3 linked regions of the Xenopus tropicalis genome follow. The protein of the gene in region 1 purifies or fractionates together with the protein of each later gene. This does not show direct contact. Links are inferred from orthologs where the notes say so. Each region holds a gene or a part of one and is shown on either strand. Other genes may lie near its edges. The genes, in order: nfkbia, arrb1 and vcp.

Region 1 (10,395 bases):
GCTCTCCTGCTGGAGTCACCGTGCATGTCCGCTGATGCCCAAAGGTGAAAGCGAGTGCATGGCACACCCATTGGCAGAGAGCCAGACTGGGGGCAGAGGGGCCGGTTCCTTTTTTGTACCAGGGTCCATGGTCCAGCAGTTAGGCCACTGATAGGAACTATTATCCAGAATTCTTGGTATGCTGGGTTTTCTGAAAATAGATTAAAACAGATGTCAACACAAAGAAAGAGTCTTAATTCTCCAGTTCTGACGTTCCCACTCTAGAACCATTGTGTGCAAACAAGTTCTGATGAGACAGCACACAACAAGCTGTGAAACACCCACTGTTCTGTATATTCAATGTACAAATAGTACAAATAGTCTTTACACTTACAATAAATAGGAACTTATAAGGAACATTGTTTTGGACCCAGACACCTTCCCAAATAAGGTAAATTTTGAACAATAACTCCGCCCTATCCAGATATAAGTAAACACTCATTCTATTTGTTGAACTGTGAGATTTGGGAAAGTACTGGAAGGTTGTGTGTGTGTGTCAGAAATGAAGTAGAAGACTACAGGCAGGGAGTCGGGAAGCTGAACACTCTCTGAGGAATGTGGTGGAGCAGGTCAGCTATGAAACATGGCAGGAAATATTTTACAGCCAGTATCACTGAGAATCATTTTAAGACTGAGAGAAAAGGTGTGATCTATTTTGGATGGGGCATATACATCATACACAATGTTCAGATTCCTGAAGGAAAATGGTATTCCAATGGAGAAATCTATCATCTATATCAATCATTTATCTATCTAAAATCTTTCTTCCCTTTAATAACATCAGCTTGAACGCCATGTTTAATGGCTATGCCAGTAGAATACTGGTGGCAACCCTAGTGAGCTCAGAGTGAACTAAGTCCATGAATGACTTTAGACTGTAAGGCCTATAACATTTTGCCTTCTTGTACCAGGTGAGGCACAATGTCCCTGCCTGCTGACAGCTTCTCTAGATTCATTTGAACAGAAAACATGATGCCTATGGCGGATACTGCAGTTGTGCAATAACTACTAAAGACAGATACATAGAATGTAACTACATTTGAGGAAAGGTGTTTTGGCCTCTGCAGTTTTTCCTTTGTGGTACCCATGGGAGCCGTTGGAGGTAATCTAAAATCTGCCAGCTGAAAAGCTCCCTGTGCGACATTGGTCCCTGTCTTGTCCTCTTCTTCTATGTAGCCTTCAGAAAAAAAAGTATGCACTCTGCTGATCAATCCAGGTTCATGTTATACATGGGTACGGTAGGGTTAAACACTCCCCTTACTAGCATTTACACCCCCGAGTTCTAAATTTAATTACAGATACAGTTCTTCTGTGAGAATCCTACCTACTGGTGCTACATTATTCATCTTCCTATCAGTGTCAGACTGGCCCACTAGGATACCAGGAAAACTCCCGGTGGGCCCAGGTGTCAGTGGGCCCTCTTGCTTCTATCTATTTGGCCAATTGCATGGTCATTCCCTATTTATGTATGGGAAAAATAAATGGAAGGATAGAGAAAAGAGACTTGGATAATAAAGAGGTTGAGGGATTAGAGAGTGGGCCTATGGTCCAAGGTTTTCTGGTGGGCCCCTGGCATCTCAGTCCGACACTGCTTGCTGTTACCAATTATGGAAGAGATCCATGGAACTTTTCCTTGCCAATATTAATCAGCAATTGAACATTAGAAGGGAGGATTCTCAGCCCCTTGGAGAATTATGCAATAGTCAGGACTGCTTTAGCTCATACTAAGGTTAAAGATCTTGAAAAACATTGGAATTTCAGTCATTGTTCCATAGTTCCAAGAATATCAAGCACATTAGATGTTGTATTTATTGGGAAAAAAACATCATAGGTGGTAATAGCAACCAATCAGATCTTTGTTTTTGTTTTCTAACTTGTATGTGACTGTTCAAATCTAAGTGCTGATTGGTTGCCTTGGGCAACATCAGCAGTTATGTTTGTCTTCTGTGTTAATAAATATAACCCTAGATGTGTTCACTCCAAAACACTTTCACTGCATTTTTGTAGTGGTTTCAGAATTTTCTGGTTCTAGTCCCCATTTGAAATCCAGCAATGGATCATGGCACATAATAAAGTGACAGGTATTGGAAAACATTACTTCATTCAGTTTCAATAACATCTAAGGCAGCAAATAAACGTTCACCTAAATCTCTCAAGTGACCTTCAATCTGGTCTTTTAGGGTGTGTGTAGAAGATCAATAGCTATCCAAGTCTTACCCTAATTGGCCTTTAGGCTGGGTTCCCTGCAGCCAAGGATTGGGTCAGCCTATAGAAGCCAGCCCTACAATTTGGGAACCATTGCCAAAGGCTATTTAAAGATATTGAGATGTCATCCCAAGAACCACTGGCCCTGTAGACTTTAGGAACCTGTTACCAGATAGTATTGCTTGAGGTTCCATCCCTTATGTTTTTTGAATAACACAGGATACACAGAGGAGTGCCATTAAGACCCACACAGAGCATTCAAGACTTATGTTTCTGGAATACTGTCTCCAAATGCTTTTGGCCTTGATAATATATAGGATTATCCAGGATTATACTGAAGTTTATCCAGCAACATTAAGGTGAGACAACTCTTTCTACGCTAAAAGAGATTCCCTTCCAAATATCATATAGAATAGTGATTCCCAAACTTGGGGCTGGCACCCTTAAGTGGGCTTGAAGCAGCGGTAGGGTAAGGCCAGGTATAATTGGGGGAATGCCTATTTGATTCTTAGATACACCTGAAAGGTTAAAGGTCAAGTTGGTTGAGATTAGGAGAGAGTTTTTAGATCTTATGTGCTTGATATTTTTGGAACAATGAATTAAAAATACCAGTGTTTTTCAATAGCTTTAACCTTGGAAGTAGCTAAGGCAGCCCTGACCAATGCAAAGACCTCCAAAGGGTGGGGGTGGGGTGCTACATCTTAAAAAAGGCCTAGAAAGTACTGCAACTCCTACAGGCAGGAGGTTGCACATTTATAAGAGGTAAAGTGGGCCTTGCTCAGTAGATCTTATTTTTATTCCACAAGATTTTACTTTGAGCCTATTATCCTAGTAAAGATATCAAGTTTTCTGTTCTTTGAGTCTTGGATGGGAGCAGGAAAAAAAAATAATCTGCAGAGTAGATTTGGAAACAATTATTTATTTATTTTTTTTCTTTTCTTTTTTTTATATAAAATATAAACTTTGCATATAAAAATAATCTCTGTACTTTATTTACACTATATACAGTGTGTAGTTTATTTTAACAATCTGCTCTCTGGCTATAATTAGTCAGGTCCTCAACACAGTGTATTTATGAGCCATTTATTTCATGTTGGCATTGAAGGGCATTGTCAGTATCATGGTATTGGTCGCCCTGCCTCACAATGATGTTAATGACAGATTAGAGTTCCTTCTGCAGCATCCTCTCTTTATCTGCTCAAGGAATAAGCTCTTTAATTCATAGCTGTGGTCTTGATGCGGCAGGATATGTAACACAGGAAGCTTCTCGTGTAGAACATCGGTCACCATGGAACAGCACAAGCACCTCCACGCCTCAACTTTCAGAGGATCCTTTTCTACCCCGAAGTCACTGGCTCCAGTGCTGTCCTCTAGTAATGAGAGTCTGTCCTTATAGTTTCTTTTTTTTAGTTCACACACAGCAGTCTAATGCAGCGGCCTCCCCCCTATGATGCAGTCGTCATACATAAGCTGTTAGACAAAAGAGAGAAAGAAAACTATTTAGAGCCAAAAATTGTTATACATAAACCTTATTAAGCGACAACTTTATTGCAAGAGAGTTACATGTTGGACCAAAACATAACTCAGGGGTTGCTACTGAACCCACTTTTTTCTAACTTAAAAGGAAGAAGATGATCACTAATCTAAAAATGGATGGGTTTATGGTTTTATCAGTCTCCGTAGCCCCTGCCAAATCTCATCCCTGCCTCACCCTAAATGCTTTATTTTATTTTAGCTGCCCAAACTGCTAGGGCCTGCACAACCCAACAGATTATTAAAAATTCTTTAACATTAGGCTAATTATTACATGTGCTTGAAACTGGTTTAACTGCCATTCATTCCCATGCCATTACTATGATGAACTCGTCTCTAGGTCTCACCTCATCATCATTATATTCATATTCGGAGTCAGAACTGTCTTCCTCTTCACTCTCTGGAAGGTACTGCAAATTCTTGTGTGTCACTTCAACCAGCTGTTGTTGAATCAGCATGTTATTTCTGCCCCATGTGAGCTGGCACGGAGAGTAGCCTTGGTACGTGACTCTGTTTACATCTGCTCCGTGCTTAAGCAGCAGTTTCATCAGGTCGTAGTTCTGCAGGTCCACGGCCATATGCAGCACAGTGCGACCATTGCAAGGCTCCTGTGGTGAGGGAAACAGAAATTTCTCTTAGATCTAGAGGCAAAATTGAATCCAATAGACATGGCAGGAAGAAACATCAGTATGTAGCCAAGTGAAGTAGGGGGAATACTGACCTGGGCATTTATATCAGCCCCCTTATTAATGAGATTTTCCACAATTGCAAGATAGCCATGGATCGATGCCAGGTGGAGGCACGTGTGACCTGCATCGGAAAGAAAGATATTAGCAAGGCAGTTCTAATTCTAATTTGCCAAGTAGCACAACAACACACGTCTAAAGGTTTATAGATTAAGTTTGATACATACCATCATAGTTCACAGATTGCAGAAGTGCTGGCAGTTGTTTCTCACAATACTGGAAAATGACCCCAACTCCCCGAAGCGAGCCCTGCTTGCAGGCAATGTGCAAGGCGGTGTTGCCACAGAAGTCTTGGATTTCTGGATCACAACCAGCCTGGAGAAGTGACTGGCTGATGTCTTGTTGTTCGGTGATTACTGCCAGATGTAGTGCTGTCTGCAGAAAAGACATTAAAAAAAAAAAGAAAAATCAGTAAATTCATTCTCATTAAACACAAAATTGAACTTGCAGAATAAGCTTGTACTATATTCTATCCCTCATGAACATGCTATGAGTGCACTGACTATTAATATTTTAAGTGCTGGCCAACTTACATGTCATAGGTCAATTATTCCACAAACTGGCCCTCTATTATACTTTATATGTTAAAATTCCTTTGGAGGGCCACATCCGGCCCACGGGCCTCCAGTTGGACAGCCCTGCCCTAACCGACAATGGTGGCACATGACAAGCTAATCTAGAAATAAAGTTTTTACAAGGTTTAGAAAAAAAATAAAAAGTAAATTACCTGGTGCAGATTATTCTGCTTGTTCAGGTAAAAATGGTCCCTGTATGAACGTTGGATTGCCTCCTTCACCAGGGTTTTCTCTTCATGGATAATTGCCAAATGGAGAAACCTAGAAGGGAACATAAAAAGGACATGTTAAAATAGAGAAGCAAATTTGTGTCATTTAACCATAAAAAAAGAAAAGATGAACTAGCAGGTTTATGGGAAATGACAAACTAGCTTTCCAATCTTAGCATCTTATTACAAAATGTCATTTCTGTATTTACTATTTCATCATTCAGAAGTAGAAAATGTACCCCCCCCTCCCCTTTGGGAACCAGTAAGTGAAGTGGTGTTAAGGTTCAGTGTGTGGGAAAGATCGAGGTGAATAAAACTTCATAAATTTAGAAACTGCCAAGCAATAGGAAATAATAATTCATAATGAACCTATTTCATCATAGCGGCATGTCGGTGAGCTGCAATACTAGTCAGTGGTGACACAAGTGTGTACTTCCCCCTCCCCCAGCCAACTATGCAATTGTGTAAGTCTGGGGATTTTTTCTTCTCTAGATCTGTCTGTTGTTTTCCGCTTTCTGCTGTGAGTGTGAGAGTGTGTGTGTGTGCAGTTGTGTTCCTGGCTACTGGCCAGGGACTTTCCAAAGCCAGAGTCCTGCCCCTGGGTGCCTGCCAGCCCCCACCCCTCTGAGGCAGCAAGTCAGAGAACAAGGTGTCCTCCCACCCCCCCTCCCTCCAGCTCACACGAAGAAGGGAAAACCCAGACAGATATGGCGTCTCTTCTGCACCAACAAAAAAATTCCCCTACCAAGAACAAACATGCACCAAGCCATCTAACAGCTGCCCGGCGTTGCTGCATGCTTGCAAATACCAATGCATGATATAAAAAAAGCATTAAAAGCACAAGGGTTTTTAACTATTTGCACAACTTACTAATACTGCATGTTTATGGTTGCATGAAAAAGCTGCACAATAAATTGCAGTGTTATGCAGTGTAGCCTGCCCCATGCACCTAACTGTGCATTCACCATAAAGAAGTCATGCATTAGTAAATATCTACATATCCTACACTAAACACTGCCCCAAACCTAGGTGTCCCTGTTATATATATATATATATTAGTGCAGCACTATAGAGTACTATCCCTTTATCAGTATATACACTGTGCAAGGCAGATGTAATGGTTTTAGATGTACTAATACTAAGGTTCATCGCCCCTATACAATATCAGTAGATACTGAGCACAATCCCCAGCCATATAACGAACCCATTCTCTATCACTTACGTGTCTCCATCTTCGTTGACCTCTTTCTTCCATGGCTCCGGCTCATAGTTCGATGTGTCCGGCGGGCCCTCCATTCTCATGTTGCTGAGGTCAGTAATGATAGCCGTGTATTCCTCCTCCTTCAGGGAGTCCAGGCCGCTATCAATGCGATCGTCCTGCAGCAGTTTGTCCTTCCGGAGATCCCTAGCTTCTCCCTCCATCATATTCCCTTGGTAATCGTGAAAAGGCACAGACATGGCGGCGGCCGGTTGTTGAGCTTCCCCGCAAAATAGCTTAGAAGACACTGTAGAATCCCAGTTGCGATAGTGAAGTTCTGTAGCTGTAGCCTCCTCTATACTAATCCCATCCGATCAGAGCGACTTCTGGTAGCGATCTGGCAGCTCCCTCCCCCAGCAGGCTACTTTTACATATACAGCCGGGGTTTTTTCTGGGTGGAGCCGAGCTCAGTTTCCTACTTGTGAACTATTATGTACTCTGGGAAATTCCAAGAATAAGTCAGTATAGGAACACAATGAACCTGACGGAGCCAGTTCTGTGGTACAATAAAAGGAAGAGCGCAGAAATATGTACAAGGCTCAGAAATTCCCTTTTTTCAGACGTGCGCAGCTACTCCATGTACATTCCTCTCAGCACACTCACCATTCCTGGGACACACTGGGGGGATTCGGGCAAAAATACACATTAGTTCCCCACATCATACTCGGCATTTATATGCGTTAAATATACCTTCGTCTGACAGACTATTGATATTATGCTAAATACATAAGAGCTCAACGTCCGGGGAGCCATTTGCATTTTGCACCTTAACCCACACACACAACCGACTTGCACCTAATGATTGATGCTAATGCCATTTTGTTTTATTTCAGCAACTTCCAGAAACGAGGGGTTTACAAACAATGCAACTTTCGCGCAATGTTCCCCAAAAGGCTGCAAAAATTGCGTCATAAGCAGCAAGATTACACTGGGATTCTGGGGAATAACGTTGCATTGTGGGTGAAACATGGAATTTTGCACTCTTTTGTGCATTGTAGTAAGGCTTTCCCACTGGAAAGAAATACAGGTCTTCCTAAATTTTCATCTCTCTACCCAGTTAACATTGGGATATTGCAGTATTTTAACTGGTCAGGCCAGTATAATAACCTCCAGGTGGCAATCCTAATTGCAGTTTGCATTTGCTTTAAAAAAAACATAAGCCCCTTTGTGCATTATTGTTGGGATGAAATGAGATTGTATGAATTTAATAGTTATTATTTTTATAACGATAATAGTTTCAGGTACCTTGCTTAGGTGAAATAACTTAATTGCCATTTGCCGAAGGTTATCTGTCCGTAATTCTTGTGTGGGAATAAAAGTAGTAAACCAAAAACATCATGGAATACTTTGACTATACTATTGTGCGCTCTGCACTAGTGATGTGCCCAGGCCCGGGCCTAGGGCGGCATAAACATAGGGGCGGCATGCTGCCCCGCCGCACGCAAATTTCAAAATTTTGCTCCCATACGGAGCAATGGGGACCTCTCCCCACTGCTCTGTATGGGAGTTTTAACTTTGGCGCATGCGCATTAGCGCGGCGGCAGGGGAGGAGGAGGTGGTTTGCGCATGCGCGCTCGCACGGCGGGTAGGGGGCGCCAAATGGGGGCGGCCTCGGGGCGCGTCATTTAGAAATCCGGTGCTGGATGTGCCCCCCTGACACAAGGGGCATATATATTATAGTGTGTAAGCCAAAATCAGCTGTGATGTTGCATATAGCATTTAATAAGCAATTAGATTTTAATGGTCACCTACAAGTTAAGGTGGCCATACACGTTACAGTTATCAACCTTCCTGCGACCATTGGCAAAAACAATAAGAATTCTACCCCTATTTGACGATTCAGCCCTTAACGTATGCTTATGCTCAGGCGCTTCAACAGTGCCCGATCAAAATATTTTACCCTGCCCGATTGGCAAGACGACCAATATCCAAGGTTTTTTGTGATATTGGTCACTTCGTCGATCCACTATACATACACCGAATATCGAATGTTGGCTTACACAGTATAATAAATATACCCTTAAGAGAGTAGGTGCAGCATCCCTTAGGCCACATTGGGGCGGCATTTGGTGCCAAAACTCCCCTAAATACTGCAAACCCCATGACCAAGAAGGAGTTTTGTGTCCCTTATTGCTCTTGTACTTGCATCCAGGGCTGTGATGAACCCTATAATCTTTCTGGTGGCTTTTGGTGTTGGGCTATATAGTGGTATAGATTCTGCTGTAGTGCCCACTTACTTATAGTCATACATATCTGTCCATATTAAAATATTGTAAACAAAATCTGTAGTAACATATTAACAGCTTAGTGCACCCTATACAGTACTGAAATTTGGCATCAGACTTTGGGTTTGGGTGCTTGGATTGTTTTGCCTTTGTTATGCAAAACACAGAATGTCTTTGTTATATTACTGCCCAGTGACTGGGATTTCCCCATGATTAGGATTTGGTATGCAGATATAACGTTCCTTAAAGCTCATTAAACCTCACTTTCAATCAGGGACTTTAGATAAAGCTGCTTAGGGAATTTGCAGGTGGAGGACAGATTCTAGGACTAACCGACAGATCCTTCTATCTTAATAAACATGCCAGTTCCAGTACGGCTGGCAAAGCCTAATAGAAGCTGTAGTTCTCCTCTGCTGCTTTTGGTAATGCCATGTATGACTCTGTGCAGTGTAAAAGTACCTCTGATGTTCCCCCTAAAGAACTTAACTTTCCTCCAGCAAATGTACTTAATGGGGCATAACATCGGAAAGTGAAATTATGTGATTCACAGATTGCAGCACGTTAATAGGACACGGGGATTTTACTGAAGTTTGGCCACTTTAAAAAAATCCCAGCAGTAATTTGGCAACACGTTGGGTTTAACAGGAGATCCCCTGATATCTAATTCTTCTTCAAAGGTCCCTGCTGGGCACATTTGAAACTGCAGGATAGATTGCAGTATTGCAGATAGATAAGTATTGATTTTTTTAAGTGCCAAATAACAAGTTATAATAAACCACCCCCTTCAAGGGTCTTAGTGGTTTCATTTGTAATAGAATACATTATTTACACCTCAATTAGATCAGTGGCAGATTTCCAAATCTATCACAATATGGTGACTAGTCACACAGTTTGTTTTATTATTTCAACAGTGCAAGATGCACTAATGAAAGCTAACTGCTTATTGGTTGCTATGGGTTACTGCACTGATGCTTTGGCAATCTATTATCCCAATCAAAACAGTACAGTTCTCAATCTTTATCTGATTTGGACTTCTTCATGACAGTCAATCCTTTCCAATACTTCCCATGGAAGTAAGTAGTTACAGTAATAGCATCAACCTGCAAGTGGGCATATGGGATACATTTCATTCACAGAAAGTATGATTTTCTGCCCAAAATACACCTTGTGTGCGCGCTGACAAGCAGTTGGATAGTCATGGATGGATTGTATTTAACCCATTCAGTGCTGTCAGAATGTCACATTTCATTTGCACTTAGTGCCATATTTTTGTGCTCTCTCCACCAAGTTCAAACTTACCTATACTGACCTATCTATACACTCACATACATAAACCATATATACCAACAGCAATACCAACTGCAATATCCCTTTCCATCTCTATTTTAGCTTGCCTGATTTTTTGCATGCTTTATTTGCTTCCTTGTACCTGATGCAAGTTTCCGCTGTCCCAGCTAATTTGAATGCTTTAAAAGCATGTTTTTTTATTACCAACCTTCACCACTAACACTTTTATGCAACCATAAAGGTTTGGCATTGTGATTCCTTTCCTTGTTTATAAGGGGAATATACTGACCTGTATACTTGTTAAGCATAATTTTAAAG
Region 2 (10,395 bases), on another chromosome or scaffold:
TAGGGCTATGGGCCGGGGCTCAGTAGGACTATGGGCAGGGGCTCAGTAGGGCTATGGGCAGGGGCTCAGTAGGGCTATGGGCCGGGGCTCAGTAGGACTATGGGCAGGGGCTCAGTAGGACTATGTGCCGGGGGTTAATGGGACTATGTGCTCAGATCCCCGTATGAGAGGGCTGGTAGGGCACCATGAAGGTTCCGGCCGGAGATGTCCATGCTGAATAGCGAAGCTTCACACTCACTCAACAAACAGAAGCTTTTGTCTTATCCGCTGCTTAGAGCCCCATCCATTTCTGCCCTTCACTAGATCCACATGGGCTACAAACTGTCCAATATGGAGGGATTAGATGGAAAATCTGAAAGTGAAAATATTGATTTTCATCATCACAAATCCATTTAGGTTTCGAAGCTGCAAGAAAGGGGCAACGGCTCTCAGCACTCTCGGCTGCACTCTCGGCTGCACTCTCGGCTGCACTCTCGGCTCAAACACAAAGCACTTTTGGGATGGAATAAAGGTTTATGATGGGCTGGGTGTAGGGCAGCCATCTTGGTGTATTATGGAAATGTCCCTTGGGGGGCGGGGCTTACTGTCAGTAGGTACAGGCTACGTTTCTTGGCCGGGGTGCCGGGACTCCATGGAGGAAGGACTTTGTGAGCTGTTTGGGAAGTGAGTCCTTTAACGTGTGGCACAAACTGACTCGAGTAGCGTTTGAGTAGCAAATAAACATAGGAGTACGGCCTATTGGCTTGTAGTAAGGCACTGGGGTACGAGCAAAAGTACCATTATTCCTACTCCAAAGTCTGTCCAACCCCATCCTATGTGCAATTACTCCTACTCCGTATTCTATACAATCCCATCAAATGCATAACTATAACTCTTACTCCATTCTCTCCTCAGCCCCATACTCATTAGGATTACTCTTACTTCATAGTCTGCACAACCCCACCTTGTGTATAACTACTCTTACTCTATTCTCTACTCAGCCCCATAGTCTTATCCAACCCCATCCTATGTGCAATTACTCCTACTCCATATTCTGTGCAACTCCATGCATGCTCCATTCCCTACTCCACCCTGTCCTATAAGGATTACTCTTTCCCCAGCTCTGTGTAACTCCATCATATGCAGAGTCACTAATACTCTTATCAAACCCCATCTTATGCGGGATACCCTCTACTCTTCCCTACACAGGAGTATGCATACTACTAACTCTATCCAACCCCATGCAGTGCATTATTACTCTAACTCCATACTAATTACCCCATCCTATGCATGACTACTTATAATCCACACTCATGCAGAATTCTCTGTGCTCTCCTCAACCCATACGCTATTGCCCTACTCCATGCTGGTCCTGCTGTTTGTACCTACTCCTACTGCACACTCGCTAATTACTCCCTACTTCTGCACAGCTTAATGTATTACTATGCTGTTTTTGTATGAATCAATAGAGTGTCCCACCCAATCCTATTTATGACGAGTCTTACTCCAATCTTGGCCTGACCTCGCTGCCTGTTTGTTCCCACTGATTTGATTTACTTTTAATTAGAAATTCAAACCAACGAGAAATGAGCCTCATACATCAGAACGATCCGGGCTCTGCTGAGCGTCGGCGCCCCCCTCTCGCCGCTTGGTGTTTGTTCAGCAACAAGACAAGTCCCTGGACCCCTAAACTTGTTCCTAGCAACCAACAGCCCCGACTGGGGGCAATAGATCTCTAGGCAGTAGCCTGTAGAACCTGCATGTTGTTCTTCCGCAGTGGCCTTTAGTCAAGTCTATTCCTTTTTGGACGGCGGTGTTAATCTTTCCGCATTTGTTTTGTGACCTCAGACATGTTTGTCATTGTAAGGCCGATGGAAACACTCAAATATTTATCCCCCAGTTTTTAAACCCCACTGGTGTTTGTTGGCAGGAGAGGGGAAATGAGACAATACATGGAGGCATGAACATGTTCCTGCACTTGCCCATGCTTTCCGAGACATCCCTCTTGCCCCCATTGCGCCCATTCACACTGGGGAACCCTGGAGCTACTGCCACCCTGGACCTTGGGTTCCCGCATCAGGTTGGGTCAATGCACTAGGCTGGCACCCAATGAACTCTCTGATATGGTAGGGGCATTAATACACCCACTTCTGTTGGTCCTTCCATAGTTTCCCTTTGGGTGGTCCTTGCGGGGTGACACCCAAAGGTGTTTATACCTCGTACTAGACCAGGCCTCACAACATGGCATTTATGGGCACAACTCCATGGCATATGGAACGGAAGTTGTTGTTGGCTTTTGCAGCCACTGCCTGGCACTGAGCTCCTCTCCTGAGTTTACTTCTGAGTTATTTTCATATCTCTCCATAGTTTCCCTTTGGGTGGTCCTTCCGGGGTGACACCCAAAGGTGTTTATTCCTCGTACTAGACCAGGCCTCACAACATGGCATTTATGGGCACAACTCCATGGCATATGGAACGGAAGTTGTTGTTGGCTTTTGCAGCCACTGCCTGGCACTGAGCTCCTCTGCTTAGTTTACTTCTGAGTTATTTTCATATCTCCCCATAGTTTCCCTTTGGGTGGTCCTTGCGGGGTGACACCCAAAGGTGTTTATACCACGTACTAGACCAGGCCTCACAACATGGCATTTATGGGCACAACTCCATGGCATATGGAACGGAAGTTGTTGTTGGCTTTTGCAGCCACTGCCTGGCACTGAGCTCTTCTGCTGAGTATTTTTCTGTGTTATTTTCATATCTCTCCATAGTTTCCCTTTGGGTGGTCCTTCTGGGGTGACACCCAAAGGTGCTTATACCTTCCGTGTACTAGACCAGGCCTCACAACATGGCATTTATGGGCAAAACTCCATGGCATGTGGAACAGAAGTTGTTGTTGGCTTTTGCAGTCACTGCCTGGCACTGAGCTCTTTTGCTGAATTTACTTCAGCATATCTCTCCATAGTTTCCCCGTTTGGATGACATTTAGCGGCTTTGATTTTATTCCCAAAATATAAACCAGACATTCATCTCCATGGATTGTGACCTTACGTTCACTCGCCCTGACTATTCCCAAACCCCTCAACGGAATTTATTTCTCTATTTTCTCCAGAGATTGATGCTTTTGGCCCACATCCAGACTTGGGGTTTTGTTTTTATAATACTCTTGTATGTGTTTTTGTATTTGTATGATTTAAAGGCAAAGTATTCTATTATTTGAATTGTGTTTTGTTTTGTTTATTTTGCCTGTTTCTGGTCCTGACTACATGCACCTCTCCCCCAGGCCTACACTCTAATTCCAACAGCAGAGATAGGAACCCTGCTTACTGGGCTGCCCTGGGAAATATGTTGTACAAGCAAAGCTAATTCACCTTTAAAGCATCTTGCCATACTTTCTTTATTTTGGTCCTGTTTCCATCATTTCCCACTGCTTCTATCCTGACCTACTGTCTCCATCTTGCCCTACTGTCTCCATCTTGCCCTACTGTCTCCATCTTGCCCTACTGTCTCCCATCTTGCCCTACTGTCTTCATTTTGCCCTACTGTCTCCATCTTGCCCTACTGTCTCCATCTTGCCCTACTGTCTCCATCTTGCCCTACTGTCTCCATCTTGCCCTACTGCCTCCATCTTGTCCTACTGTCCCCATCTTGCCCTACTGTCTCCATCATGACCTACTGTCGCCCTCTTGCCCTATTGACCATTGCCCTATCTTACCATTCTTCCTATCCCACTGTCTCCATCATATCTTACAATCCCCATTGTATCTTGCTGTTGCCATTTTGCTGGGGGGAATATTTGGGCCCCCTATCTCTGTCTCTGCATTCCCGCTGGCTGGGGAGGGTCTCACCCATACCCGCGGGAGGCTGCAGAGATTTGATATGCTGGTGTTGTGCCCGCGGCACGCTGTACTGCCGATGACGACACGAGCCAATCAGACTTGCACGCAGGGCATAACACAGTAAATGGGAGAATTTTGATGCAGCTGCTTGGATTGAGAGAGAGCGAGAGAGCGAGAGAGCGGCTGAGATTCCAGCCCGTGGGTAGTCGCTGCCATTGGAGAGAATAAAGGAATCAGTGGGGGGGAGAGAGCTGAGAGGGAAGGGACCGTCGCACACCTCGCTGGCTGGCAGGGCTGCAGTGATGCCGGTGCCTAGATGGATTACATGTGGATTGACAGCCCGTACCTAAGGATCAGAACCGTATTGGAGGAGTCGGTTCCTGCTTGCGTGGTGGCACCGCTGGGAATCCGCTGTGGGGAGCTGGAAGCCCACAAGGCCGCGCCAATGGAGAACGTATTTCTGTGAGTAAGGACAGGTCTGTGGCACAATGTGTGTCGGACTGGGCACAAGGAATCACCCACAGCGATGCCCCCTCGTGCCAACATGACCCCCGGGGTGTTACCTCTAATGAGCAAATCCCACTGTTATTCCCCTTAATGCCCGGTGCTTGCAGTGCCCCCTCTTTCTGTGGCCGGGCTGCCTTTAGTGCCCTGCAGTTTGTGTGGCCCCCAAGCTGTATGCAAAGGGACCCTCAGGGATTGGCTGTAACTGTAGTATAGTGTGTATAGTAAGGCAAGATGGGGCTCGGCATAGGGGCTACAGTGCTGGACAGTGTGCAGAATAAGGTAAGGTGGTGCCAGGAGAAGGGGCTCTAACTATGGCATAATGTGTATAGTAAGGCAAGATGGCACTCGGCATAGGGGCTACAGTGCCAGGAGAAGGGGCTCTAACTATGGCATAATGTGTATAGTAGGCAAGATGGCACTCGGCATAGGGGCTACAGTGCCAGGAGAAGGGGCTCTAACTATGGCATAATGTGTATAGTAAGGCAAGATGGCACTCGGCATAGGGGCTACAGTGCCAGGAGAAGGGGCTCTAACTATGGCATAATGTGTATAGTAGGCAAGATGGCACTCGGCATAGGGGCTACAGTGCCAGGAGAAGGGGCTCTAACTATGGCATAATGTGTATAGTAAGGCAAGATGATGGTAGGTGTACAGGCTGTAACTGGGGGGGGATGCTATGAAATGTAGAAATATGTAATAGGCTGCAGGGGGGCCCCGTAACTTGGCACAACCCTGCCCTGTTCTGGTATAGAGTTTGCACCCTTTGTGCACTGGCACCTCATTCCCAGTGGAACCCATTGGGCACGTAACCCCTAAAGGACTTGTGTCACTGGGAAGCTCTTGGAATACAGAAATGACGTCACAATAGTGCGGCCAATAATGTCATTTAATGGGGCTCTTGGCATTTTAGCAGCTATATGGTCGATAGGGTCCAAATTATCTTAGCAACCAGGCAGTGGTTGGAATGAGAGACTGGGATACGAATAGAAGTGGGACTGAATAGAAAGAAAAGTTACAGAGCTGTAACAATAAAACTGTGGCCGCACAGAGCAATGGGTCATTGGTTCCCAAGAGCACAATGGAGGCAATTCATTGGCTGAGTGACAGTGGGATGTGCAATCTGGCGGGGGGGGGGTGGGGGTCATATAATTAGATTAGGGCTGATAAGAGGATTAGCGTTAGGGAGAGTGGGATAAATATATAAGGCGCTTTGGCTGAGCAATGAAGCCTTTGGGGTAATTACCTTCCTTATCCGCTGGCCCAATCCGGGGCAACTGGAAGTGACCTGGATATTTAGGTGCTCTAATACCATCCAAGGCTGTAGTTGTATAACCAGGCACCCATGGGTGCTATAATTGGGCTCCCAAAACCTCTATTCGAAGTCTGGGAGCCCATTGGCCCTGTGACTTGTATCTTTCTGGGTGCAATTAAGGACTCAGCAGCAGGGGAGGGGGGTGACTGGTCTGGGGCCCAATCACAGTGCAGGGACGGGGCCATAGCCATTGTCATAGGACTGCAAAAGGTACAGGGTTTGCTGGTGAGATGGGCAGGGGTCTGGGCAGGTAAGAGGGTAACAGGGCAGACTGGGGGTTTTGCTATGTATGTACCTAGCCTTGGTTACATGGATTCTAGGGCTCAGGGCCTGTGTGTGGGCGGGGGGGCTAATAACCCAGGCTCCATTGTGGGGAAAGCCCTGCTGATAGCATGTGGCCCAGTCATCTGTCGGACCTGCCAAATATCCTGCATTTTTGCCCCCCGTATATTTAATGGTGATATAAACCCAGCCATGATGCTGCCCCACGGCGCCCCCTAGTTTTGCTATAGAAGCTGCCAAAAACCATCATTACAGATGCAAGGAAATTCCCCAATGAGAATTGTACTGATAAATAAGTTGATTATAAATGCAAAAGAACTGCCCAGTGAGAATGCTGATTCCCAGCACTGTGTCAGGCCCCTTGCTGGTACCTTACATATAGAGATAATGATGGCATTTTCTCCCCTCATTATATGGCACAGGAATCAGACATGGGGATAAAGGGACAGACTTGTTCAGTGCTGGGAAACTGTGCTTATTGCTCCCAACTCCAATTGCAGGAACAGAGAACAGGGAGCCGGATTTACTCACATCAGCTGGGATTCTCATTGGAGGATTTTTCGCATGTTAAAGCAGTCGCTGGCTGTGGGGATTTGGGGGAAAGTTTTATTGTGCAATATTGCTTTAAGAATACAGCCCTGATGTTGCTGGACTACAGCTCCCAGCATGCCCCAAGCTTCATTATATGTTACATTATTGTGGGATTTGTAGCCCAGTAACAACTGAGTAACGTTGGGTTGAGCCGCGCTGGGCAGCAGGGTTTGTATCCCCTTTAACCTTGGGTGAGCCAATGAGAGTACATGGTCAGGGAATAATCAGGAGTGGCTGGGACATGGCCATTAGGGGGGCACAGGGGGAGTCCAACCAGTTGTTATATAACTGCCCCCCCAGGTGAGCCTTTGCCCCCCCGCCAGTCATATGAGTGCATTTATTAGGTTACCATGGCGGCACCTTGGCACTGTATGTGGGCACAGAGCTGGCATCGGGTGTTGGATTGCTGGCAGGATTCCTTATCACCCTGGCAAAATATTTGAGGATTAAGAGGAGTTTAATTGCTCATTGTTAGCGTTTGGAAGCAAATTCACGGCGGTAGGCGTGGCGCATTAACCCTCGTTATACCGGAGGGGCCCCGGGTGTGTTCCCTTTATCCCAGTGTGGGGCTCAGTCCCTGAAGCCCAAACCCCCCAGCGCTAAACATGACACATAGGGTTTCATCATAGGGAAGTGAGGGCATAATCCCCGGGCCCCCCAATATTTGTACCATCAAGAGGCACAGGGGGGCCCAAGAGAAATAAAATTGTTATTGGTTATTTGGAGTGGGTGAAATTTGGGTGCAATGTTGGCACAGTTTTAGCTTTATGGGTCGGGACTGGGATATGGGGTGTGTCTGTGTGTGTTCTCATTGGGGTCCCATTTCGCATGTTGGCAGGATCCTCCCCCTGGGGGTCTAGGTGACCAATGGTAGTGGGGTAACTATAGTGGGCAAGATTTCCACACTGAAACTTACCATGCACATACCATGGGGGGCTGAGCCTAGGGGTTCTGCCCCCCCCCGGGTAGATATGCTTCTACCCAGTGGGTAAATAATTGGGGCTCCCTAGGGTGGAGGGCCCTGCTAACTTAGTACAGGTATGGGATCCCTTATCCGGAAACCCCTTATCCAGAAAGTTCTGAATTACGGAAAAGCCATCTCCCATAGACTCCATTATAAGCAAATCATTCTAATTTTTAAAAATTATTTCCTTTTTCTCTGTAATAATAAAACAGTACCTGTACTTGATCCCAACTAAGATATAATTACCCCTTATTGGGGCAGAACAGCCCTATTGGGTTTATTTAATGGTTAAATGATTCCCTTTTCTCTGTAATAATAAAACAGTACCTGTACTTGATCCCAACTAAGATATAATTACCCCTTATTGGGGCAGAACAGCCCTATTGGGTTTATTTAATGGTTAAATGATTCCCTTTTCTCTGTAATAATAAAACAGTACCTGTACTTGATCCCAACTAAGATATAATTACCCCTTATTGGGGCAGAACAGCCCTATTGGGTTTATTTAATGGTTAAATGATTCCCTTTTACTCTGTAATAATAAAACAGTATCTGTACTTGATCCCAACTAAGATATAATTACCCCTTATTGGGGCAGAACAGCCCTATTGGGTTTATTTAATGGTTAAATGATTCCCTTTTCTCTGTAATAATAAAACAGTACCTGTACTTGATCCCAACTAAGATATAATTACCCCTTATTGGGGGCAGAACAGCCCTATTGGGTTTATTTAATGGTTAAATGATTCCCTTTTCTCTGTAATAATAAAACAGTATCTGTACTTGATCCCAACTAAGATATAATTACCCCTTATTGGGGCAGAACAGCCCTATTGGGTTTATTTAATGGTTAAATGATTCCCTTTTCTCTGTAATAATAAAACAGTACCTGTACTTGATCCCAACTAAGATATAATTACAGGATTTTTAGCAGACTTCAAGTTATGAAGATCCAAATTACGGAAAGATCCCTTATCCGGAAAACCCCATTCTGGATAATAGGTCCTATACCTGTAGTATGGGGCCCAGGGATTCCCCGTGGCACACACTGATAGATGCCAAGTATAATGCCCAGTCCTACTCCAGGGCATGGGAATTAGTTGGGTGTCCTCCCGCTGTTGCCATAACGACTGCTCAAGTCGGATGAGCTGCCGGACACCTTCCTCACTTGCTAATGCGATCCAATTAGAACTATCCGTTCCGTCGGCTAATGATCCGCTGGGATAAAGATAATCAAAGAGGAAAGTAAATGAGAGTGTGAAAGGGCGGCTCATTAATGAGAGTGCAAAATACCCACAAGGCAAAGCGGATTAGGGAGAGGATTCCTATTGCCGGGGGGGGGGGGGGCACAATTACAGCACCGGGGGGGGGGGCAATAAACTGACCCAGTTTCATGGAATCGCCTATGTAATTGTTAAGGGCCACAAAGAAATGAGCGACTGTAGTTGTAACTGTGACAGTTGCTGCCAAAAGTGCCAACCAGGGTGCAAAGGGCACAGCTCCATGTTGTGGGCACTTAGCACCCATAGGTGCAGGTCAGACACAAGGATGTGGGGCAGGGTGCAAACTGCAATAAACATGGGCAAAAGAAGCAACGGGAACCTATAATTACCGCTTGGCTATGGCAGGCATTAAATACAGTGCCTGTCGGGCACAAGTGCTCTGTAACTCACACTATGGGGGGCAAGTGCGAGATCTTTCGACCAATCACGTGTGACTTAATCCTTCTCTCTGTTATTCACATCAAAGGGTCCCCTGTCGGGCCCTTATCCAGCGACGGAAAGATGAGCGGCTGGGTGCCAGCCTGTGTGCCAGGCTTAGCAATGTCACGCCCGGGCGCTGCCAGAGGGGAGCGGGCAGTTTACTTTGGAGCCGAGGGATTAGAAATAGAATATTATATTAGTAACAGAGTCATTGTGCTGCCTGATTGCATCTGCCTGCGATCATGCGGAGTGACCCTGTCTGTGGCCCTGTCTGATCCATCTTAGTGTCGCCGCACCCTTCCCTTTAATTATATAGTCATATAGTGCTATTAAAGGGGAAGATCAACTAAAGAGTGACTTACATCTCTGTACAGGCTATGAGCAAACTTAGGGGGCTGTTCCTGCTGAATTGTGCTTAGTACAGGGGAATCCCTATGTGCCATAGTTTTATGGTATCTCTCTGTACAGGCTATGAGCAAACTTAGGGGGCTGTTCCTGCTGAATTGTGCTTAGTACAGGGGAATCCCTATGTGCCATAGTTTTATGGTATCTCTCTGTACAGGCTATGGGCAAACTTAGGGGGCTGTTCCTGCTGAATTGTGCTTAGTACAGGGGAATCCCGATGTGCCATAGATTTATGGTATCTCTCTGTACAGGCTATGAGCAAACTTAGGGGGCTGTTCCTGCTGAATTGTGCTTAGTACAGGGGAATCCCTATGTGCCATAGTTTTATGGTATCTCTCTGTACAGGCTATGAGCAAACTTAGGGGGCTGTTCCTGCTGAATTGTGCTTAGTACAGGGGAATCCCTATGTGCCATAGTTTTATGGTATCTCTCTGTACAGGCTATGAGCAAACTTAGGGGGCTGTTCCTGCTGAATTGTGCTTAGTACAGGGGAATCCCTATGTGCCATAGTTTTATGGTATCTCTCTGTACAGGCTATGAGCAAACTTATGGGGCTGTTCCTGCTGAATTGTGCTTAGTACAGGGGAATCCCTATGTGCCATAGTTTTATGGTATCTCTCCCAGTATAACAGGGCCACAGTTTAATCACTGGCAGGGCCTACCATTTAGCCCAGATGTAGGCAGAACTGTATATTAGACAAGCAGGATGCCTAAGCTATATATATATTGTATATTTACACTAGGGAGTAGATGACGTTCCCCCCACCTATCGCTGAGACCAATTCCATATTGAGCATGAAATCAATTAGTTCTCTTTAG
Region 3 (10,395 bases), on another chromosome or scaffold:
ACTGGTCTCTCTATTTGATGGAGAAAACTCAACCAGTGTGCAGCTAAGATAATCTTCCTTCTGCCTGTGGCTCTTGCTTATTGTTAGGGTTCTACGGAGGGAACCTGCTCATCTGCAGTTGGATTGGGTGCAAATCCTTTGCCCGGTATCTGTTGTCTCACAATCAATTCCTGTCACAAGAGAAGCAGTTGCTTTAGGCAGAAAGTTCTCTAACTTGGGTCCAAACAACAACTGATGTCCATAAGGAGGGTTGCACAAAGGATGTTTTGATCTTCTGGTAACAGCCCCCCAATGCCATGGCCTTTGCTGCCCATTTAATAGTATCGGAGGAAGCCTTGGCAATATAACTGCACCCAGTTGGATTATGTCTATATCCTTGACATTCTGCTTAAATTTCACCTTTAAAAAGAAAATATGCCACTTTTCAACTTGCCCTTTTTATGTAAGACTAAGATACCTTGAGTATGTGTGCTTGCTATGGCCAGTTCCCCACCCCTCTTAGGCTCACAGTGTCCTGCAGCCCCTCCCTCATCCTGTTCCAGGGTGAAGTGACTCTGGGATTTGAAGCCCCTCTGCTCTCCAGAGAATCCATGCACCGCCTACTAAGCAGGGGAACTACATGTCCCAGAGTCCATCACTTCACTCTGGAATGAGGCGAGGGAGGAGTTGCAGGACACTGCAATGGGCAATGCCTAGAGGTGGCCATATATACGGGCCGATTCTAGCTGCCGATATGGGTCCCTTAGACCGATTCAGCAGCTAATCAGCCCGTGTATGGGCACTACCGACGGGTCTGCCTGACTGATATCTGGCCTGAAATTCTAAGATTAGCAGACAATGGAAAGGAATAACGACTCTGCTGACTTTGTGAAAATCTGTTTTGTTTTTTTACCTGTTTATTAGAATATAAAAACCAAGAAAAGATTTCAGCGGCCAAACGCAAGGTGGAAACTGGAGGTTCCGAGAGGCCCTAGGGCCAAACGATTGAATTAACCCGATATTGGGCACCTTAGATGGGAATATCAGGAGAAGAGCCACTTGTTTGGGGAGGTGTATGGCCACCCTTTAGGTATATCTGTTTAAAAACAAACAAACATATATTCCTATGTTTATGTACCTTGTTCCATGTGTAAAGAATGGGGACATATTTCCCCTTTAATGGCTTTAAGGATTGGAAGGAATGTTTATATGAATAGAAACAATTCCCACCAGGTAACTTACTGCCAGTTAGTCCAGCAAAACACCATCAGTTCCCCACAATAAACTGAACCATTAACCCCCTGTGTGCCAGCTTCTCTCCCAGTGCCAGGCCTGCCCAATGTGTGATATTATGGCACTTTGTGGGTCAATGTTACCTCAGCTCTGGGCAGGTAGGGGAAATTACCCACAATGCATTGCCTTACAGACAGGGCAGATAATGAGCGATCACTGCCATGTGAGGGGCAATAGATTGAGAGCTTGTAGCCCAGGAACTGCAGGGGGAGGGGCTAACATGTAGTACAGTTGGGGCACATGTATTACTCCTTATGGGTGAAGCTACTAGTGGGTGCATGGCTACAGGCCCAGGGGCCATATCACATTACAATGGCCAAACTTCATTTATTGTATGTGGCTGGGCGCCATATTCCATCTGTTGTGAGTAAATTGCCCTGTCACGCCGCTCAGCGAGTTGACTGACAGTCGGCCAACCTCAGAATTTGTTTCTCTTTTGTGCGGCTTCTTCCTGGTGACACGCCCCCTTTTCCGTTTTTTGACCAATCCCAGTCGGCCAGACGCGCAGTTGCTAGGAGTTAGTAGGACAGACGCGGTAGGCTCCTTCATTGCAGTGCGCCTTCATCTTTACGGACCAATCAGAAGCGGCGGCCGGGTAGGACGCTAGAGGCGTGGCCTATATCCCATCATTCCTTGCTCATCACCCGTCAGTTCTGGGCCCCGCTGATTGGTTGCAGTATTAAGACGCAAGCGCAGACGGCGGACAGTGATGCTGCACTTTACCCTCCTGTGTGTGTAAGCCCCGCCCAGCCGCCGGCGCTCCTCCTCCTTTCCCTCGGTCAGTCACACAGTGAAAGCGAGAGAACGGACAGCGGGGCAGCGAGCGGAGCAGCGAGAGGGAACAGCGGGACTCACAGGCGGGACGGGACCGAAACACCTGATAAGCGGCAGGAACCGAGCGCTCAGTTTCTCCTTACCGGCAGCGGAGCGGCACAGGCCGGACACCGAGCATGGCTTCCGGATCCGAGTGAGTTACCGGGGAGCGGGCTGAGGGGGGTCTGTGGGTGCCGGTGGGACGCCGCCGCCGGGAGCTCCGCCCATTGGCTGGCACAGCGGGACCCGGGGTGTGCGGCCTACTGCGGCCTCCTCATCCTGCTGTGTCATGCACCCCTCACAGCGGCACCTACCGGCAGGACTACAACTCCCAGCATTCCCTGCCAACAGCCGGCCCCAGTGTTATCTGCTGGGAATGGTACCCTGCCTGCCGGGACTGACCTACAGGAAACCTGCCGGGAGAGCCTTGTCTTTTCCAGTGGGTCACCTCTGGCTGCCTTGGGGGATGCTGGGAGTTGTAGTCCAACATCAGGATTAGGGTGCCCTGCCTCTAATATCATCATGTCTGGGGCCCTAGCTGCCCTGGGGGATGCTGGGAATTGTAGGCCACTAGCAGCATGGGTTTATACTGTATGACATTAGTGGGGTACAGGGAGTCTGCAGTAGTACCAGGCCTTGTACAGTGGCTGATCTCCAGCTGCTGTGGGGGATGCTGGGAATTGTAGTCCAACATCAGGATTAGGGTGCCCTGCCTCTAATATCATCATGTCTGGGGCCCTAGCTGCCTTGGGGGATGCTGGGAGTTGTAGTCCAACATCTGGATTAGGATCCCCTGCCTCTAATATCATGTCTGGGGCCCTAGCTGCCTTGGGGGATGCTGGGAATTGTAGTCCAACATCAGGATTAGGGTGCCCTGCCTCTAATATCATCATGACTGGGGCCCTAGCTGCCTTGGGGGATGCTGGGAGTTGTAGTCCAACATCAGGATTAGGGTGCCCTGCCTCTAATATCATGCTTGGGGCCCTAGCCGCCTTGGGGGATGCTGGGAGTTGTAGTCCAACATCAGGATTAGGGTGCCCTGCCTCTAATATCATGCTTGGGGCCCTAGCCGCCTTGGGGGATGCTGGGAGTTGTAGTCCAACATCAGGATTAGGGTGCCCTGCCTCTAATATCATGCTTGGGGCCCTAGCCGCCTTGGGGGATGCTGGGAATTGTAGTCCAACATCAGGATTAGGGTGCCCTGCCTCTAATATCATGTCTGGGGCCCTAGCTGCCTTGGGGGATGCTGGGAATTGTAGTCCAACATCAGGATTAGGGTGCCCTGCCTCTAATATCATCATGACTGGGGCCCTAGCTGCCTTGGGGGATGCTGGGAGTTGTAGTCCAACATCAGGATTAGGGTGCCCTGCCTCTAATATCATGCTTGGGGCCCTAGCCGCCTTGGGGGATGCTGGGAGTTGTAGTCCAACATCAGGATTAGGGTGCCCTGCCTCTAATATCATGCTTGGGGCCCTAGCTGCCTTGGGGGATGCTGGGAGTTGTAGTCCAACATCAGGATTAGGGTGCCCTGCCTCTAATATCATGTCTGGGGGCACTAGCCGCCTTGGGGGATGCTGGGAGTTGTAGGCCACTAGCAGCATGGGTTTATACTGTATGACATTAGTGGGGTACAGGGAGCCTGTAGTAGTACCAGGCCTTGTACAGTGGCTGATCTCCAGCTGCTGTGGGGGATGCTGGGAGTTGTAGTCCAGTCACCGTATCTAGTTGAACGCTGGTTGCTATAGAGAACCTGACATTGGCAACACAGGGTACCCTTTGGGTATAATAGGAGCCATAGCTGGGCATGAGGGTGGGTATCCATGGAAACCTGCCAGAAATGAGGCAACTTGCCGGGAACTCTTATTGGCCCTTTGTCTGCATCCCAATCTGAGCTATGGCTGATGTACCCTATCAAATATGTATAACCCTGCCCATTTGGGCCGCTGGCACACTGCCTGGGTGTGAGTATGTGCCTGTGGCCCAGTGCCAAGGTGCCAGTGGAACTGCTTTATGATGCTGGCACCGGTGCCCACAGCTGCTGGCACTCACAGCATAGAGAGGGGCCGTGCCACCTCATCCTAATCACTGGCCAGTTAGTGGGGTTTGGGCAGGACCTACCCCTGCCATTACAATGGTACGTTCCAGAACAGGCAGTGCAGAGAGATACACCAGGGTTATACCAACTGCAGCTGGGGGGGTTATATCTGTGTGCCCATGCCTATTGGCTGACCCTCGGGCCCCCATGTGCTCTGGGCCTGCTCCCTGCTGGGTCCCTGCGCTTTGCCCAATGAATGGTTCTCCCCTGTCAGCACAAATGCCCCTGCCCCCAGAGGGAACGGCCATGCTAAGCTTTCCTGCCCCTCGTGAGAGAAGCCCCCCCCCCGCACTACAGTCTGACCTTCTGGATCCCCAGCGCCCACCTACCTACCTGCCCCTGGGCTCTTGGGGTGCTCTCCTCCCCTTCTGCTCCACATTTATATAAATCTCTATACATTTGCCCAAACCTGCCCAATATTATATGGAGTAGCCCCCCCATCCCCCCTCCTTGTCCCAACTCTCTTTATAACCGGTGCCAAGCGATACCCTTAGCAACCTGGGTGTTATTATCCCCCCCCCTGAGGTGAGAAGTGGAACTGCAGGAGACTGGAGGAGCCCCACACACACTTGGCTGATAGTGATACCCCATTGGGAGATGCTGATGTATCCAGGATCCCGTACCCTGTGGGTAAATGGCATCTGTGCCCGCTAATTGGCAGGAAATAGGGCTGTACTTCTGGTTCTGACTCTTCAAACAATGTAGCCCTTCCCCAGTTCTGCAGCTGGATTCTGCTACATAGTTTCAGGAGTCGGAACCAGCAGTGCAGAGAATATAAACAGAGGCTGCCGTCTGTAGCAACTCAATTTAAAACCATTTGATATGGAAAATGAATAAATATCAAGAGTTTGTGTTTTTATTGTCAAAAGGTTTTTAGTTGGAAATCCCCTAAATTCCCTCACAGTCACCTCCTGGGCTGGGCCCTGCCTGTCACTCATTCCCAGTCTCCTTGGTTACATGTAAATATACCTGGGTGGGGGCAGTACCGGTACTGGTATCAGTTCTGGCCCCACTGGGTATCTGTATGGGGCCAGGTATTGTGTCTGTCTGTCCCTTTCCCTTCCCTGCACTGCTGGTTCTGACTCCTGATACAACTCCCCAATATCCATTCATCCCTCATTCTCACTGGGTTTATAGTTATGTGTAACTGTCACTGTCCCTTTCCCTTCCCTGCACTGCTGGTTCTGACTCCTGATACAACTCCCCAATATCCATTCATTCCTCATTCTCACTGGGTTTATAGTTATGTGTAACTGTCACTGTGTCTGTCCCTTTCCCTTCCCTGCACTGCTGGTTCTGACTCCTGATACAACTCCCCAATACCCATTCATTCCTCATTCTCACTGGGTTTATAGTTATGTGTAACTGTCACTGTGTCTGTCCCTTTCCCTTCCCTGCACTGCTGGTTCTGACTCCTGATACAACTCCCCAATATCCATTCATCCCTCATTCTCACTGGGTTTATAGTTATGTGTAACTGTCACTGTCCCTTTCCCTTCCCTGCACTGCTGGTTCTGACTCCTGATACAACTCCCCAATACCCATTCATTCCTCATTCTCACTGGGTTTATAGTTATGTGTAACTGTCACTGTGTCTGTCCCTTTCCCTTCCCTGCACTGCTGGTTCTGACTCCTGATACAACTCCCCAATATCCATTTATTCCTCATTCTCACTGGGTTTATAGTTATGTGTAACTGTCACTGTGTCTGTCCCTTTCCCTTCTCTGCACTGCTGGTTCTGACTCCTGATACAACTCCCCAATATCCATTATGTTATGTGTAACTGTCACTGTGTCTGTCCCTTTCCCTTCCCTGCACTGCTGGTTCTGACTCCTGATACAACTCCCCAATATCCATTCATCCCTCATTCTCACTGGGTTTATAGTTATGTGTAACTGTCACTGTGTCTGTCCCTTTCCCTTCCCTGCACTGCTGGTTCTGACTCCTGATACAACTCCCCAATACCCATTCATCCCTCATTCTCACTGGGTTTATAGTTATGTGTAACTGTCACTGTGTCTGTCCCTTTCCCTTCCCTGCACTGCTGGTTCTGACTCCTGATACAACTCCCCAATACCCATTCATTCCTCATTCTCACTGGGTTTATAGTTATGTATCTGTCACTGTGTCTGTCTGTCCCTTTCCCTTCTCTAGTTCTGACTCTAGAAACAATGTAGCTGAAATCTGCTTACATCCGTACACCTTTTTACAGCAGTTCGTACTTGCTTTATGGCAGCAGTTCTGGATAGGAGCTGGGTATCAGAGAGGTACAGATACCATAGGAGTTGGGGCAGTTGCCGCTGGGCGGGAGGGGGAGTTGGGGCAGTTGCCGCTGGGCGGGAGGGGGAGTTGGGGCAGTTGCCGCTGGGCGGGAGGGGGAGTTGGGGCAGTTGCTCAGCAGTCTGTGCTGTTAGTAAATAGGGAAGGAGCCAGCCAGAAACGAAACCAAAAGCTGCGCTCCCTGCGTCACCGCTTGCACCCCTGGCACTGACTGTACATTCCTAAGGCTTTAACCCTTGCTTATCTCTGTTCATCTTCATACAATAAACAATCCTTTAGATTGTAAGCTCTTGAGCAGGGCCCACTAATCTTATTTTTTACTCTGTTACCCTTGTTTGTTAAGTTATTGTAAGACCATAAATAATAACTATATATATTATAGTAAATGCTAAATAATAAATACAGTGCCAGACTCAGTGGCTGGGGGGTGCGGGCCCATAAGTACTGGCAGGCTCACACTCCATTAAGATGAATGAATAATTTAGCTAATTAACCCCCCCCCCCCTCTCTATTCAGTTCCAAATCAGACGACCTGTCTACAGCAATCCTGAAGCAGAAGAGCCGGCCCAATCGGCTGATTGTGGATGAATCCATCAATGAGGACAACAGTGTGGTGTCTCTGTCCCAGGTACGGCCAGTGCCAGTAGCACAAGCGCCTTGTTCCCGGGGTCTGTGTGGGACGGGGGGGTGGGGGGCCAGGGTTTAATGGCACCGGGGGGGGGGGGGGGGGCGCTGGGGTTTAATGGCACCGGGGGGGGGGGGTTGCTGGGGTTTAATGGCACCATTGGTGGACGCCGGGGTTTAATGGCACCGGGCTCTTGTTTCAGGCCAAGATGGATGAGCTGCAGCTCTTTAGGGGGGACACCGTGCTGCTGAAAGGGAAGAAGAGGAGGGAAGCCGTTTGCATCGTTCTCTCAGATGACACCTGTTCCGATGAAAAGATCCGAATGAACAGAGTCGTCCGGAACAACCTGAGGGTGCGGCTTGGAGATGTTATCAGGTATCACTGGGGATTGGGTTTGTTACTCGTGGCTCAGCTATTGGGCAGCATGGGGTATTGGGCCTGGTACTGTGGCTCAGCTATTGGGTATCATTGGGTCTGGTAATCATGGCTCAGCTATTGGGCAGCATGGGGTATTGGGCCTGGTACTGTGGCTCAGCTATTGGGTATCATTGGGTTTGTTACTCATGGCTCAGCTATTGGGTATCATTGGGTTTGTTACTCATGGCTCAGCTATTGGGTATCATGGGGTATTGGGCCTGGTACTCATGGCTCAGCTATTGGGTATCATGGGGTATTGGGCCTGGTACTCATGGCTCAGCTATTGGGTATCATTGGGTTTGTTACTCATGGCTCAGCTATTGGGCAGCATGGGGTATTGGGCCTGGTACTCATGGCTCAGCTATTGGGCAGCGTGGGGTATTGGGCCTGGTACTGTGGCCCAGCTATTGGGCACCATGGGGTAGGGTCTGGTACTGGGGCCCAGCTATTGGGCACCATGGGGTATTGGGTCTGGTACTGTGGCCCAGCTATTGGGCACCATGGGGTAGGGTCTGGTACTGGGGCCCAGCTATTGGACACCATGGGGTATTGGGTCTGGTACTGTGGCCCAGCTATTGGGCAGCATGGGGTAGGGTCTGGTACTGTGGCCCAGCTATTGGGCAGCATGGGGTAGGGTCTGGTACTGTGGCCCAGCTATTGGGCAGCATGGGGTAGGGTCTGGTACTGTGGCCCAGCTATTGGGCAGCATGGGGTAGGGTCTGGTACTGTGGCCCAGCTATTGGGCACCATGGGGTAGGTTCTGGTACTGTGGCCAGTGGTTGCTCTGCCATTGGCCACTCTGAGTTCTGTTACAGTTCCGCTACTCACTGCTCCTGTTTCTGCGCAGCATTCAGCCGTGCCCGGATGTGAAGTACGGCAAGCGGATCCATGTCCTGCCCATAGACGACACAGTGGAGGGCATCACTGGGAACCTGTTTGAGGTGTATCTCAAGCCTTACTTCTTGGAAGCCTACCGGCCAATCAGGAAAGGTACAGACTGCGCATCCCGGTGCTTTACCCTCAGTGCTACTTGGAAAGGCCCAGTTCTCTGGGCTCCGGTACCACCTAAAACATTTAAAGCGATAGTGACACATTCTGATTCTAACAGGGCCGTGTCACCATGTCCCTGGTTGGGAGAGCAGCAGGCCGGGCTTTGATAAGCTGGGCCAGTGTTCATAGTTGTCCTCCAGCCTATCAGGACATTACGTCCCCCTCCCCCCTGCCAAACTCTCAAGGAACCATGGTATGGGAGAGCCGGACAATTTTGGGGGATGTGGTTGCTGCAGTTTCCGAAGGGGCTCAGTGTTGGCTAAATGGGATTAGTTTCCCTTTAATACTTGTGTATTTGCACTGCCATTGTGTGAATTGTGCTCCACTGTAGGCACTTGTCATTGAGACTCATTGATAAGGATGTGTTTTACTGTTGGACTGATCCAGCCCATATCTGATGGGAGGGGTCAGGCTCAGAGAGAAACTGGACCCGGATCAGTATCTTTGCCCCAAATGTACATGCTATGTCCGACTGATTTTAATGGCACTTTCCTGCCTCTAGGTGACATTTTCCTGGTGCGCGGAGGGATGCGAGCAGTGGAGTTCAAAGTGGTGGAGACTGATCCCTCCCCGTACTGCATTGTGGCCCCCGATACTGTAATCCATTGTGAAGGGGAGCCCATTAAACGTGAAGTAAGTGCACTGTAAAGGCTATGGGGGGAGAGAAATGGGGGGGGGGGGAGCATGGGAAGTTCATACTGGTGCTGCAAGGCTAATAATTATATGGATGTAGCACTCATGGTGGGAGGGGGGCACTGTGCCAGGGGTATGGAGCTGGGCAGGGTACCTAGGCATGTAACTATTCTGCCTGACTTTACTGCCACCTACTGTTAGAATCTACTCCCTACAGTCCCATAGTGATTAGAGTATTTCATGATTATTACACAAACCCCCGTGATTCTGCTGGTCACATGATCGAGGGGTATGGGGTGGGCAAGCCAACCGTCCTGCGTGATAACGAGAGACTGAAATGTTGGCGTTTCTTTTTTTTAAAAATTGTTTTTATTGAGTTTTATTTAACATAAAGAAAGAAAAGGAAGAAGAGAGAGGAGATAGGAAAGAATGGAAATAAATAAAATGGCATGATACGGTTCTTGGTGAAATGTTGGCGTTTCTTAACCCGGCCGCACTTTCTCTTGCAGGATGAGGAGGAGTCCTTGAATGAAGTGGGCTATGATGACATCGGCGGCTGCAGGAAACAGCTGGCCCAGATCAAAGAGATGGTGGAACTGCCTCTCAGGCACCCGGCCCTCTTTAAGGCTATTGGGGTGAAGGTAAGACAATGGCAGTGAAGGGTGGGGGGCTGCTCTCTGTAGCTGTGAATGGAGGGGGGCAGAGATGTAACTGCTGCGTTTCCCTATTACCTATATACAGAGATCATAGGCTCTTGTTCCCCATTGGATGTAGTTTGTCCTTTTATCTTAAGGGAATATTAGGGGGATGTGGGGGCTTATAGGGGAAGAGCCAATGTGCCCCAGTTACTGCCTGTGCGCTTTGTGTACTGATACCTTTTGTTCTGCCTCTCAGCCTCCCAGGGGCATTCTGCTGTACGGACCCCCAGGCACTGGAAAAACCCTCATTGCTAGAGCTGTGGCCAATGAAACCGGAGCTTTCTTCTTCCTGATCAATGGTGAGAGATTCTGTTCCATCGGTCCCCTGCGCACTAGCTCTGTGTCCGCCATATTGTGCAACCCACCCAGCTATCAGTGATGTCACTGCACCCCCCCCTCCCAGCCAGTGGCATCAATGCATCAATCCTGCTGAGATGCTGCTGGGGGTGGAGGGGGTCAGTCAGAATCTTTAAAATGGCCAAAGACTTCAGGTTGGGACGGATGCAGGATGG

What was found.
Region 2: the proteins of nfkbia (region 1) and arrb1 purify together in Homo sapiens (affinity purification with western blotting; 3 studies listed by BioGRID and IntAct, with this or other methods). This does not show direct contact. The link is inferred for Xenopus tropicalis from reciprocal best matches to the Homo sapiens genes NFKBIA and ARRB1.
Region 3: the proteins of nfkbia (region 1) and vcp purify together in Homo sapiens (affinity purification with western blotting; 7 studies listed by BioGRID and IntAct, with this or other methods). This does not show direct contact. The link is inferred for Xenopus tropicalis from reciprocal best matches to the Homo sapiens genes NFKBIA and VCP.

The regions. Positions count from the first base shown.
Region 1 is NC_030684.2:109,507,810-109,518,204, forward strand, and holds nfkbia (NF-kappa-B inhibitor alpha), read right to left. Parts: upstream 6,886-10,395; 5' UTR 6,766-6,885; coding exon 6,530-6,765; intron 5,360-6,529; coding exon 5,251-5,359; intron 4,899-5,250; coding exon 4,691-4,898; intron 4,588-4,690; coding exon 4,499-4,587; intron 4,386-4,498; coding exon 4,125-4,385; intron 3,715-4,124; coding exon 3,670-3,714; 3' UTR 3,148-3,669; downstream 1-3,147. UniProt on the Homo sapiens protein: Inhibits the activity of dimeric NF-kappa-B/REL complexes by trapping REL (RELA/p65 and NFKB1/p50) dimers in the cytoplasm by masking their nuclear localization signals.
Region 2 is NC_030678.2:175,780,393-175,790,787, forward strand, and holds the start of arrb1 (beta-arrestin-1), read left to right. Parts: upstream 1-3,784; 5' UTR 3,785-4,128; coding exon 4,129-4,274; intron 4,275-10,395. UniProt on the Homo sapiens protein: Functions in regulating agonist-mediated G-protein coupled receptor (GPCR) signaling by mediating both receptor desensitization and resensitization processes.
Region 3 is NC_030677.2:212,820,298-212,830,692, reverse strand, and holds the start of vcp (transitional endoplasmic reticulum ATPase), read left to right. Parts: upstream 1-2,109; 5' UTR 2,110-2,222; coding exon 2,223-2,239; intron 2,240-6,976; coding exon 6,977-7,088; intron 7,089-7,287; coding exon 7,288-7,460; intron 7,461-8,349; coding exon 8,350-8,492; intron 8,493-9,054; coding exon 9,055-9,185; intron 9,186-9,694; coding exon 9,695-9,826; intron 9,827-10,079; coding exon 10,080-10,182; intron 10,183-10,395. UniProt on the Homo sapiens protein: Necessary for the fragmentation of Golgi stacks during mitosis and for their reassembly after mitosis. Involved in the formation of the transitional endoplasmic reticulum (tER).